Linked DNA regions of Arabidopsis thaliana. The protein of the gene in region 2 interacts with the protein of the main gene of each other region in a pairwise test. Each region holds a gene or a part of one and is shown on either strand. Other genes may lie near its edges.

What was found.
Region 1: the proteins of CSDP1 (region 2) and MYB52 interact in a two-hybrid assay, tested with the Arabidopsis thaliana proteins (one large-scale study listed by BioGRID).

Annotation. Positions count from the first base shown.
Region 1 is NC_003070.9:6,174,887-6,180,148, reverse strand, and holds MYB52 (myb domain protein 52), read right to left. Parts: upstream 2,669-5,262; 5' UTR 2,386-2,668; coding exon 2,268-2,385; intron 2,148-2,267; coding exon 1,722-2,147; intron 1,292-1,721; coding exon 1,086-1,291; 3' UTR 860-1,085; downstream 1-859. UniProt on the Arabidopsis thaliana protein: Transcription factor that confers sensitivity to abscisic acid (ABA) and salt, but tolerance to drought. Regulates secondary cell wall (SCW) biosynthesis, especially in interfascicular and xylary fibers.
Region 2 is NC_003075.7:17,041,505-17,047,070, reverse strand, and holds CSDP1 (cold shock domain protein 1), read left to right. Parts: upstream 1-2,509; 5' UTR 2,510-2,728; coding exon 2,729-3,628; 3' UTR 3,629-4,080; exon of another isoform or gene 4,081-4,183; 3' UTR 4,184-4,272; downstream 4,273-5,566. Other genes in the region: ARO3 (armadillo repeat only 3), read left to right, coding at 1-1,987. UniProt on the Arabidopsis thaliana protein: Chaperone that binds to RNA, single- (ssDNA) and double-stranded (dsDNA) DNA, and unwinds nucleic acid duplex. Exhibits a DNA melting activity. May be involved in cold resistance. Prevents seed germination under dehydration or salt stress conditions.

The DNA.
Region 1 (5,262 bases), on a different chromosome or scaffold from region 2:
CGGATGGAGAATTGTATGGTTATAAGTCGTGTCAAGATGTGTGTTCTTCATCTCCACCTAAATAAAACGAACTATTTTATTCGTGTTTTCTTAAGCTAGACAAAGGTAGATTGCTACTTTTGATTGTATTTCTTGGTGGCTGATAACTACTCCCAACTTAATCATATCTATACTCCAACCTCGATTTCGTCTTTCCGTTATTAACTTATTATTATTCTTCACACAATTAAAGAAACTAAACCAAACTTTATTTTAGAAGTTAAAAGGCTCTCATAAATAAAACCACTAGTTTAAAAAAAAAAAAAACTTTTTCTTTTTTTGATATCATCATCACAAGTTATATGAGTCAAAATAGTCTGCATGAAATTATAATTAAGTAGTACTGTATTAAAAGGATGTTCATTTGGTGGTACATATATTTAGGCACCAATGACATATTTTCTTCGGTTAATAATCAAACCTTATAATATTTGATCTTCCTTAAGAACGCAACAACACAAAAATTATATCCGACGATTGCAAATTAAATTCCACAAAATATAAAATCTTGGTCTCAACTCTCAAGTCCTTCTATTACGATAATTTATAGATTAATCCGGATTCAGGACACAGAATTTTCTCAGTACATACGCATCTTGTAATTTAGACAATATATACCATAGTCCATAGCCAAAATGAGTATAAAGTGAAACTAGGCCAGTTTGGAATAAATTTTTGGTTTTACTTCAGAATTTCAGTTTAAGATTGGTTTCATGACAAACCTTTAAACTTAATAATGTTTTAAAATAAATTAACTTCTGCTCAATCCTTTTTATCGATTGGTCTGATTGAATTTCTGTAAATATGAAGAAAAAAAAATACCGAATGGTGATGAGTCTGATTAAACATCCTTAAAATAAAAATAGAAAATTAGACCTGATAAAGGTGGAAAAGTACAACCTTATATTTGTTATACAAGAACATGTTTGGGATGGCTTAACTAATTTTCACATTTGGCTCAAACAAGAGCTCTAATTGATTAGTACTTTCTACATTATCTTTAATTAACATATGGTCCACCTTATAGTACATGTGGTACGGACAAATTAACATAAACCCTGAGAGGCAGAGTTTCCAACAGACAAAAAGTCGAAAAATGGAACACAATTCTCGTTAGGAATTCGGTTGTTTTGATCGACATCTTCTTCTTCGTCTTTTCTTGAATTATCTATCAATTCGTGTATCTTCGAATCCGTGTTTACTTGAAGAAAATTGTAGAACTCCATCGGTCGTTTAGTTTGGTCTATTGCTCCTGACAAATTAATCCATGTCCAAAAGTTAGTTTTGGAAGTTACACAAGTATGTAATCGTACCCACATGCAAGTGTACATCCATATGCATGCATGTAACTATGAAAATCATGATCGTTTCATACTATCTTTACAAAAAAAATTGATCAAAAATTAATTTAGAGTTTACAGAAAACAATGAATTTTAACCCATATAATCTATACAAAAATCGTTTTTTTTTTTAAATCAAGTTGTATACGAATTAATGCACCATTACTCATTTACTTGCACATTAATATGACGAATGTACATGTTTTCTATGAGTTCGTAATTTATATATGCCTATATGTATTCACACAAAATACAATATACGTATGGCTACACATGTTTTATCTTTGTGCAGCTATATTAGCTACATAAACACAGAAATTCAAGCCATATTATCTAATTACCTTCTTGTATTGGAGTAGTACTATTTCTGAACCCGATCTTTCCGGTCAAGAACTCTTTGAGGACTTGAAAATGATTAATATGAGAGAATTGATAAGGAAAATTGATAGCGGTTGTGGTTGCCAATCTTCTCTCCTTATCGCAGTCTTTATAATTACCAATCATCCCAGTCGCAGCCACCGTGCCATCATGGCCAAGGCCTCGTGGACGGAGCTTGGACCGTTCTCGGCCACGACGAGCCATGATGACGTGCCAATGGTTTTTAACAGCGTTATCAGTTCGACCGGGAAAAAATCTAGCGATCACAGACCATCTGTTCCCATGGATCCGATGAGACGCTAAAAGCCTTTCTTCTTCTTCCTCCGTGAAAGGGTTTCGGTTAATCCTAGGATCCAATTGATTAAACCATCTCAATCTACAACTCTTACCTGAAACCAAAAGATCCAATCAAACCAACATATATATTTTTATATAAATATATTAAACCCTAGTTTATATATGCTTTGTAAGAAATTAAAGAAATGACTTTAATATAAAGTCAGTTTTACCAGATCGACCAGAGAGCTTCTGAGCTATGGCGTTCCAATTATGAGGACCAAATTGTTCGACGAGTTCTCTTAGCTTCTCGTCTTCTGCAGGTCTCCAATGGCCTCGACTACACATCATTTTTTAATACCTCTCTCCTTTTGATCTTTATGATCTTCAATAAATCACAACCTATATATAAATTTATATATGTTGTTGATATAGTTAAGAAACCCTAGGTTTGATGTAGGTGAGGGAAGATGGGTATGTAGGAACAAGAAGAAAGCTGAAGAGCAACAGCACCATACATACATGTATTTATATAAGTATATTTATTTAGATATTATATAAAGAATTGAAAGTAATGAATATAATAAGATTCGTTAGAGAGTGAGGGAAAGTTTGGAGAGAGGTTTTCACCGGCGATTGATGCCAACGTCTTCCCTAACCAAACACACTCCTTTTAAGTAATCTACCCTTTTTTATTTTTCCATTTATTTCGTAATTTTTATATACATTATTTTGGTTTATGTGAGAGTTTTAATAATTGAGTAATTGATGAGTAATGAAAAGAAAAAAGGAGATTACACAGGAGGGAAGAGATTGCTTGGTGGGGTGTTTTCGTTAAACTTTCAACGTCTACCCTTAAATATATTTTTTTCCAACCTAAACCCTCTACTTCAGCCACCAATACTTCATCTACGTTCGTATAACCTTTTACAAGCTACATGTACACATGTATATTAATTATTATGGTCAGCTTTTTATATATGGACAACTTCTAGAATATGAATCAAGGTGGGAGAACGCTATAATTAGTTAACTACAATATATGGTTCAAAGAACGAACATTTAGATTGCAAAATCTATAGTTGCATTTACCTGTTATGATGTTGTATTAGTGTTACTTTGAAAGAAATAAATAAAACTTACATTTGTTAGTGTTTAACTACATAAAACAACAATGTTACAAGCAATGAAAATCTCAAAAGTCTAGCTATGTATATTACATGTGGACAATATTTTCCAAATTTATGAAATTTTACATAACCGCAAATTAAATCAACAATAAAAAATAACTAAGGCGAACTCGTACGTCCAGAATTAAGGGGGAATGTAACGGTTATTATTTCAGGATTTGTGGATCGAACTCGATGACTAAATTTCAACCGTATTGCCTTTTGGTATAACTAATGGACAATTGTTACAAGTTTTAAAATGGTTTTATAACTTCGAAAATATCAATACATTGTTAAGAGAAAAATACTGGAGGGGAAGGAGAGAGTTTGGTAAAGATGTTGGGGACCTATGATTTAATTGCAGGTCACGTATAAGTAGAATAAAGTAATTAAATATCGTTGGATATGTTTTGTTAAACCTTTCAGACCTAACCAAATGTTTTATTTTCCTTAAATCGGACCAACGTGGAAACCCTAAAACGACTCTGTGTCTTAATTAATTAATAGGTTAACTGACTGATATATCAGTGGCTTTGTACTTTATAAAAATGAATTTGACATCTTATTTGCTCAAACATATATTTGGTCTTCAAGCACATCACCAACTTTCTCTCTTGTCTTGTCTACGACGGTTGGCTTTTAATTTGTACTCTCAGTTCTCTAACAAATTTAAATTGAAAAAAAAAACATGAAATGTAGCATTGGTTACCGACTTCTATTTCATGGTTACCGACTTCTATTTTTAACATTCAGATAAGATATAATAACATAGCCTAAATACTTAAGAACATTAAAAATAAATATATGAAATATAAATAAAATGATAGGAATAAGTTGAAAACCTGAAAAGTGATGTATTGTACTTCAAAGTTCAAATTTTCCTTGAGATTGCTTGCAAAACAGTTTATTGAATATTTATAAGGATTGATTGGATATATAGCTTATAATCCAATCAACTAATCAATTCAATCCTAGGTAAGCTATAACCAAACTGTTTTAGAACTCATTAGTCATTTGCACGTGTGTAGGAACAAAGCCAAACTTAATTACTGGTGGAGATTAGTAGGAAAATAGGCAGAGTTAGTTGGGAAGGAAGTCAAATACAATCTTTCACAACTAAAAAGAATTTCTTCAAATAAGATTTCTTCAAATAAAGCAAACCGGATCCTGATTACACTAAACCGGTTAGGTCTATCAACAAATTGGTTAATCAGAAAGCAAAAAGGCAAAGCAAGGATGACTATTGAATCATGGGGATAATTAATGAGCTTGCTGGTTACAGCAGTGGGTAATATCTAGTATATATGTACAGTAGTATGTATAGCATCATTGCACTCACATCAATTAGTGACCAATTTGGGATCATCTCTACAATCAGATTCATGGACTACTAAGTGTGTCCAAACTCTGTTGTTGATCAACAACGCTTTGGAAATAGTGGTCTTATTCTTGCTTTTGATGAGAGAAAACATTTCATAAACTACTTTGGTGGTAGATAGTATATCAATCATCTCAATGTAAGCAGAAAATTATATCACAAAGCTCATTTCCTTTTTTTTGTTCAACAACAAAGCTCATTTAATTTCCTTTGTAAGATTTCTTAAAACTTAATCAATACCATCAAACCACGTTGAGAACCCTTACTCCTAAGATTGAAAAATAACTCGGACTTTCTGGTGTTGAAATGGAAGACGAATCCAGAAAGATGCTAGAGCCAAAAAATAGATCAGCCATCTCATCGTAAAAAAAGCAGATATCACTCAAACCAAAGTTCCAACAAAATTCCTTAAATTTTGGAACCCCTAGAAGAAAAATTCGCAGATGCTCTGGCCGTAGGCCAAATACTCAATTTCACACGAATATGCTAGTGAAACGACGTTCGGTTTCATTTGCTTTTTGTTTAATCACCTTTCATCTTTGAGAAATAAAATTCCACCATCGCATAAACGTTTATAAAGTATATTTAAAAGCTTTTCCAATTAGAAAATGATTGGGTTATGTAATTGATCCACATAATGATTTAGTTCTCTAATAATGTTTGTTGGTTATAATTAAATCA
Region 2 (5,566 bases):
GTCTCGCCCGATTCAACTTGCAGACCAAGTGGTGAAAGCCGGAGATGAAGCCACAATCAACAAACAAGAATGTGCCGATATCAAGTCCAAAACGGAAAAGCTCGCTGCTCTTCTCCGTCAAGCGGCCCGTGCAAGCTCCGACCTCTACGAACGTCCCACGCGCCGTATCCTCGACGACACTGAAAACGTTCTTGAAAAAGCATTGACGATGGTCCAAAGATGCCGTGACGATGGCTACATAATGCGACTTTTCAACATAATCCCCGCCGCAGCATTCCGTAAAATGATTTCTCAACTAGAAAACTCCGTCGGCGACGTCTCTTGGCTCCTCCGTGTCTCAACTCCAGCCGGTAACGATGACGACGAAGGGTTTGGTTACTTAGGTCTCCCGCCAATCGCAGCCAACGAACCAATCTTGTGCTTAATTTGGGAACAAATCGCGGTTCTGATGACCGGTTCGCCGGAAGATAAATCAGACGCCGCCGCGTCGTTGGCTTCTTTAGCAAGAGATAACGATAGATACGTGAAACTGATAGTTGAAGAAGGCGGAGTCAACCCTTTGTTGAAACTTGTAAAAGAAGGTAAAATCGACGGTCAAGAAAACGCAGCGAGAACAATCGGGTTACTGGGTCGTGACCCGGAAAGTGTTGAGCATATGATTCAGCTTGGTGTTTGTTCAGTGCTTTCAAGTATTCTTAAAGAAGGTTCGATGAAGGTTCAAGCCGTTGTGGCTTGGGCTGTTTCAGAGCTTGTTTCTGGTAATCACGCCAAATGTCAAGAACTGTTTGCGCAAAACAACGTGATTAGGCTTCTTGTGAGTCATTTAGCGTTTGAAACGGTTCAAGAACATAGCAAATACGCGGTTGTTGCGGGTAGAGCAACGTCGATGCATCACGCCGTCGTAATGGCGAGTAAAATCAGTAGTAGTAAAGAGAATTTACCGGCGTTGAACGAGGAGGAGGACGACGATAATCATATCGGAGTCTCGAGTCCGATGACGAATCAGATGCATAGCATCGTTGCAACAACAATGGCGATGAAAGCGGTTGGATCAGGATCGAAATCGAATCTTTCTAGCCGATTTGTTACCGGCGACGACGATAAACCCCCGGAAAAGATACCGGAGAAGAGTTATAGTATGAGTTCACAGATCAAGGCTTACGGTAGTATCGCACATCAATCGCGAAACGCGTCGGTGACGAGAGGGAGAGAGCTTGAAGATCCGGTGACGAAGACTTATATGAAAGCGATGGCGGCGAGAGCGTTATGGAAACTCGCTGTAGGAAACTCATCGATCTGCCGAGTCATCACCGAGTCACGAGCTTTACTCTGTTTTGCGGTTTTACTAGACAAAGGAGACGAAGAGACTAAGTATAACACAGCTATGGCTATCATGGAGATAACCGCCGTGGCTGAGGAAAACGCAGATCTGAGAAGATCCGCGTTCAGACGCACTTCACCGGCGTGCAAAGCGGTGGTTGACCAGTTATTCCGAATCGTTGAAAACGCCGACGCCGGATCCGATTTACTCATCCCCTGTGTAAGATCCATCGGAAACCTAGCGAGAACGTTCAAATCAGCGGAAACGCATATGATCGTGCCTCTGGTAAAACTCCTCGACGACGGAGAACCAGATTTAGCGGCGGAGGTAGCGATCGCGTTAGCGAAATTCGCGACGGAGGATAACTTTTTAGGGAAAGAACACTCGAGGACAATCATCGAAGCTGGAGGATCAAAGCTTCTGGTTCAGTTAGCGTATTTCGGAGAGAACGGAGCACAGATTCCGGCGATGGTTTTGCTGAGCTACGTGGCGATGAATGTTCCAGACAGTGAACAGTTAGCGAAAGACGAAGTGTTAACGGTATTGGAATGGTCATCGAAGCAAGCTAATGTACTTGAAGATGAAGATATGGAAGCTTTGTTGTATGAAGCTAAGAGCAGACTCGAGCTTTACCAATCAAGAGGATCTAGAGGCTTTCACTTGTAATTTTCCCATTGAATGAATTATTAGAAAATACTAGGATTTGATTTCCACGTGTGTTCCAATGATTTTTTATGTAGGTGACTCTGTTTTTTAACCACTATCAAAAAGTTGTATAAAGTTTTATTTTTCAATACCTAATTTTGTGTATTGACAATGAGAGATCACTGATCACCAACATTTTGTAGTTTTGAAAAGCATAAGCAAAAGCTGCAATACCATAGCCTGAAGCTAAAAGTACAATTTATTTGATGGATATTGATTTAGTAGTAACCAGCCGAATCGGGAAATAAAATATAAAAAAGGCCATACCAAGTCCAGCTTAAGCCCATCAGAGTAAAAATCTTGGACCACAAACAATTGGCCCAATGTAAAAATTGGACTAAGATCCCAATCTTATCGCGATTCACTGTAAGAAAATCATAACGTACGACCACGATTAAAATTCAAGCGTGGACGCGTGCACAGCTGATAAACGGACGTGGATAAAAAAAAAGTGAAATAGCAAGTTTCCTAAATTTCTCCAGTCCCAAAGAATATTCCACCAAAATTTTTAATTAGGCGGCATAGTCAAATTAGGGTTTAATTACATTCCCCACTAAAATTAGGGTTTTCTCATTAATTTCCTCTTAATTACAGATTTAATCCCACTCTACCTCTATATATATATACACACACACGCCTAAGGATTTCCCAACTTAAAAAACCCTAATTTCTCAATCTCTTCTTCAACTTTTTTTTTTAACGATGGCTTCAGAGGATCAATCGGCGGCGAGATCTACCGGGAAGGTGAACTGGTTCAACGCTTCTAAAGGCTATGGTTTCATTACTCCTGACGATGGCAGCGTAGAGCTTTTCGTTCATCAATCTTCAATTGTCTCCGAAGGTTACCGGAGTTTAACCGTCGGCGATGCGGTTGAGTTCGCTATTACTCAGGGAAGCGACGGTAAGACTAAAGCCGTCAATGTTACTGCTCCTGGTGGTGGTTCTCTCAAGAAGGAGAATAACTCTCGTGGTAACGGTGCTAGGCGCGGCGGCGGTGGAAGCGGTTGCTACAATTGCGGTGAGTTAGGTCATATCTCTAAAGATTGTGGTATTGGTGGCGGCGGCGGAGGTGGTGAACGTAGATCTAGAGGAGGAGAAGGTTGTTACAATTGTGGTGATACTGGTCACTTCGCTAGGGATTGTACTTCAGCTGGAAACGGTGACCAACGTGGAGCCACCAAAGGTGGAAACGATGGTTGCTACACTTGCGGTGATGTTGGTCACGTGGCTAGGGATTGTACTCAGAAATCAGTTGGAAACGGAGACCAACGTGGAGCGGTCAAAGGTGGAAACGATGGTTGCTACACTTGTGGTGATGTTGGTCACTTTGCTAGGGATTGTACTCAGAAGGTTGCTGCCGGAAACGTCAGAAGCGGTGGTGGTGGTAGTGGAACTTGTTATTCATGCGGTGGAGTTGGTCACATTGCAAGAGATTGTGCGACTAAGAGACAGCCTTCTCGTGGGTGTTACCAGTGTGGTGGTTCTGGTCACTTGGCTCGTGATTGTGACCAGAGAGGAAGCGGTGGAGGAGGTAATGATAATGCGTGCTACAAGTGTGGTAAGGAAGGTCACTTTGCAAGGGAATGTTCTTCTGTAGCTTAATCGATTTCCTAATCAACAAAACAAAAAAACAAGAATGAAATTGAATCGAGTTATATAGTTTGGTATATATTACTCTTCGTTTTCATTTATCTTTTTTTTTGTTGTTGATGGGAATGAAATTGCCTGGTCCTTTTGGTGTGTTTTTGAGCTTTTATTATTATACAGAGTGATCCCTTTTTGTTATAACTATTACAAGTTTTTAGCTTTATTTGATATGGATGCTCTCTCCTTTTCTTCTATCTGTTTCTGGAAATTTTGACCTCATCATATTACTTATGTCATCCAAAGTTTGAGTTTTGTCCTTTTTATTAAAGTGCTGCTAGTTTCAGTTCATTGCTTTTGTACTTGGATGTTTTGACTATTAGCAGCACAGGTATGACGTCTCAAGTTCAATAGTACTTTTTAACCCTTTGACACAAGATGAATCCAATCCACTGGTTCTTTTGTTGTTGGTAATTGTTATAGACTTTTTAGCTTTATCTGATATGAGTGACATCCCAATTATCAATTGTGACTTAATTAGTAACCTGTGAATTGATGGATATGATTTTGCAGTTTCATCCTTCTTTACCAATAAAGGACTGGATACAAATCTTGTGGACAAAGTTCAAGTGATGACCTCAGTCTTACCTGATTAATCCCTGCTTTGTACAGTCATTTAGGGAATGTCACAGTCGTTTTAAAGGGTTAAAAGTTTGAACCTAATTCACTATTAACTAAATCCAAGACTGATGACGAATCTTCCTGATAGAAGAAACTGGAAACCAAAGTTTGGTGTTCACCTTTTCATGTCCAAACAAAGCCACAAAATCATATGATCATTGGTTAGAAGATTATAGTAATAAACCACATATAAAAACCTGATTAGGTTAAACATCATCCACATCTCCTTGTTTATATCATCACTTGGATCCAATCAACGAAAACCTTGCTAATCACCTCAGATCGCATTAATCACTAATATTTTTCATGGTATTAAGTTCCATTGTCATATAGATGTCTCTTGAAATGGTAGCTTAATGAGCAATTTTAAGGTTATGGATCAATTTCTTTTGATATTTGGTCAGTTTTTTTTTATTCCAAGTGCAATCGAACCTGCAACTTCTACTAGTTTTACATCCAAAAACTCGGATCTTCAACCACACATGGATTTAAAGGTTATACTTCATTTTATAGAAATATGCACTAAACATAAACGCAACTATATAGCCAAATCTCTAATCAGTCATACCAATTTTGCTTGGATGTTTGGAAAGAAGATCAAATTCAATAAATTTGCATAGTAGAAACATACATGAGACCTACCCCACTTGTAGTATTTGTTTTTCCTATTTGAACATAAGAACCGGTCACATGTCTTAGTCAAAACATAAATAACTTGTAACAATGGAAGAAGCATGAACCAACAAAGTTAATATCTCTACATCACACAACTAAACCTTGGAATGTCGTTGACCCAACACCCTTTCTTTATAAAACAATCTTTACGGAAATTCTCATCCAACGTTAGCCACTGTATCTCTTTCCAATAATAACTCAAAAAAAAAAAAAAAAAAAAATTGTATTCCTCTCCTGAACTTCTGTATTGTATGTTCCTGCTTGAATTCTAAATAGAGAGAGATAGATGTTTGAGAGTCTCACGAAATATCAAACATCATCATATTTAGTTTTGTCATCTTGTACTTATTGTAATAATTAATTAACAGTGACACAACACAACTTGGGTGGATAGTAGCTATAGATACTTTGTAAGACCGTGTCCCTTGGAAGAAAGAAGAGGGCAGAATCTAAGGATGGCATCACACAATACGTTTTCTTTGTCAGCCTTTTTTGTTGTTCACCTTATTTCCTTCAATACATTTCCATTTTATGGTGATTAGTCTGCGTTAGTGATCGATAAACCACTAACCAATTTTTTCTCGCTCTGCTCTTTTACTT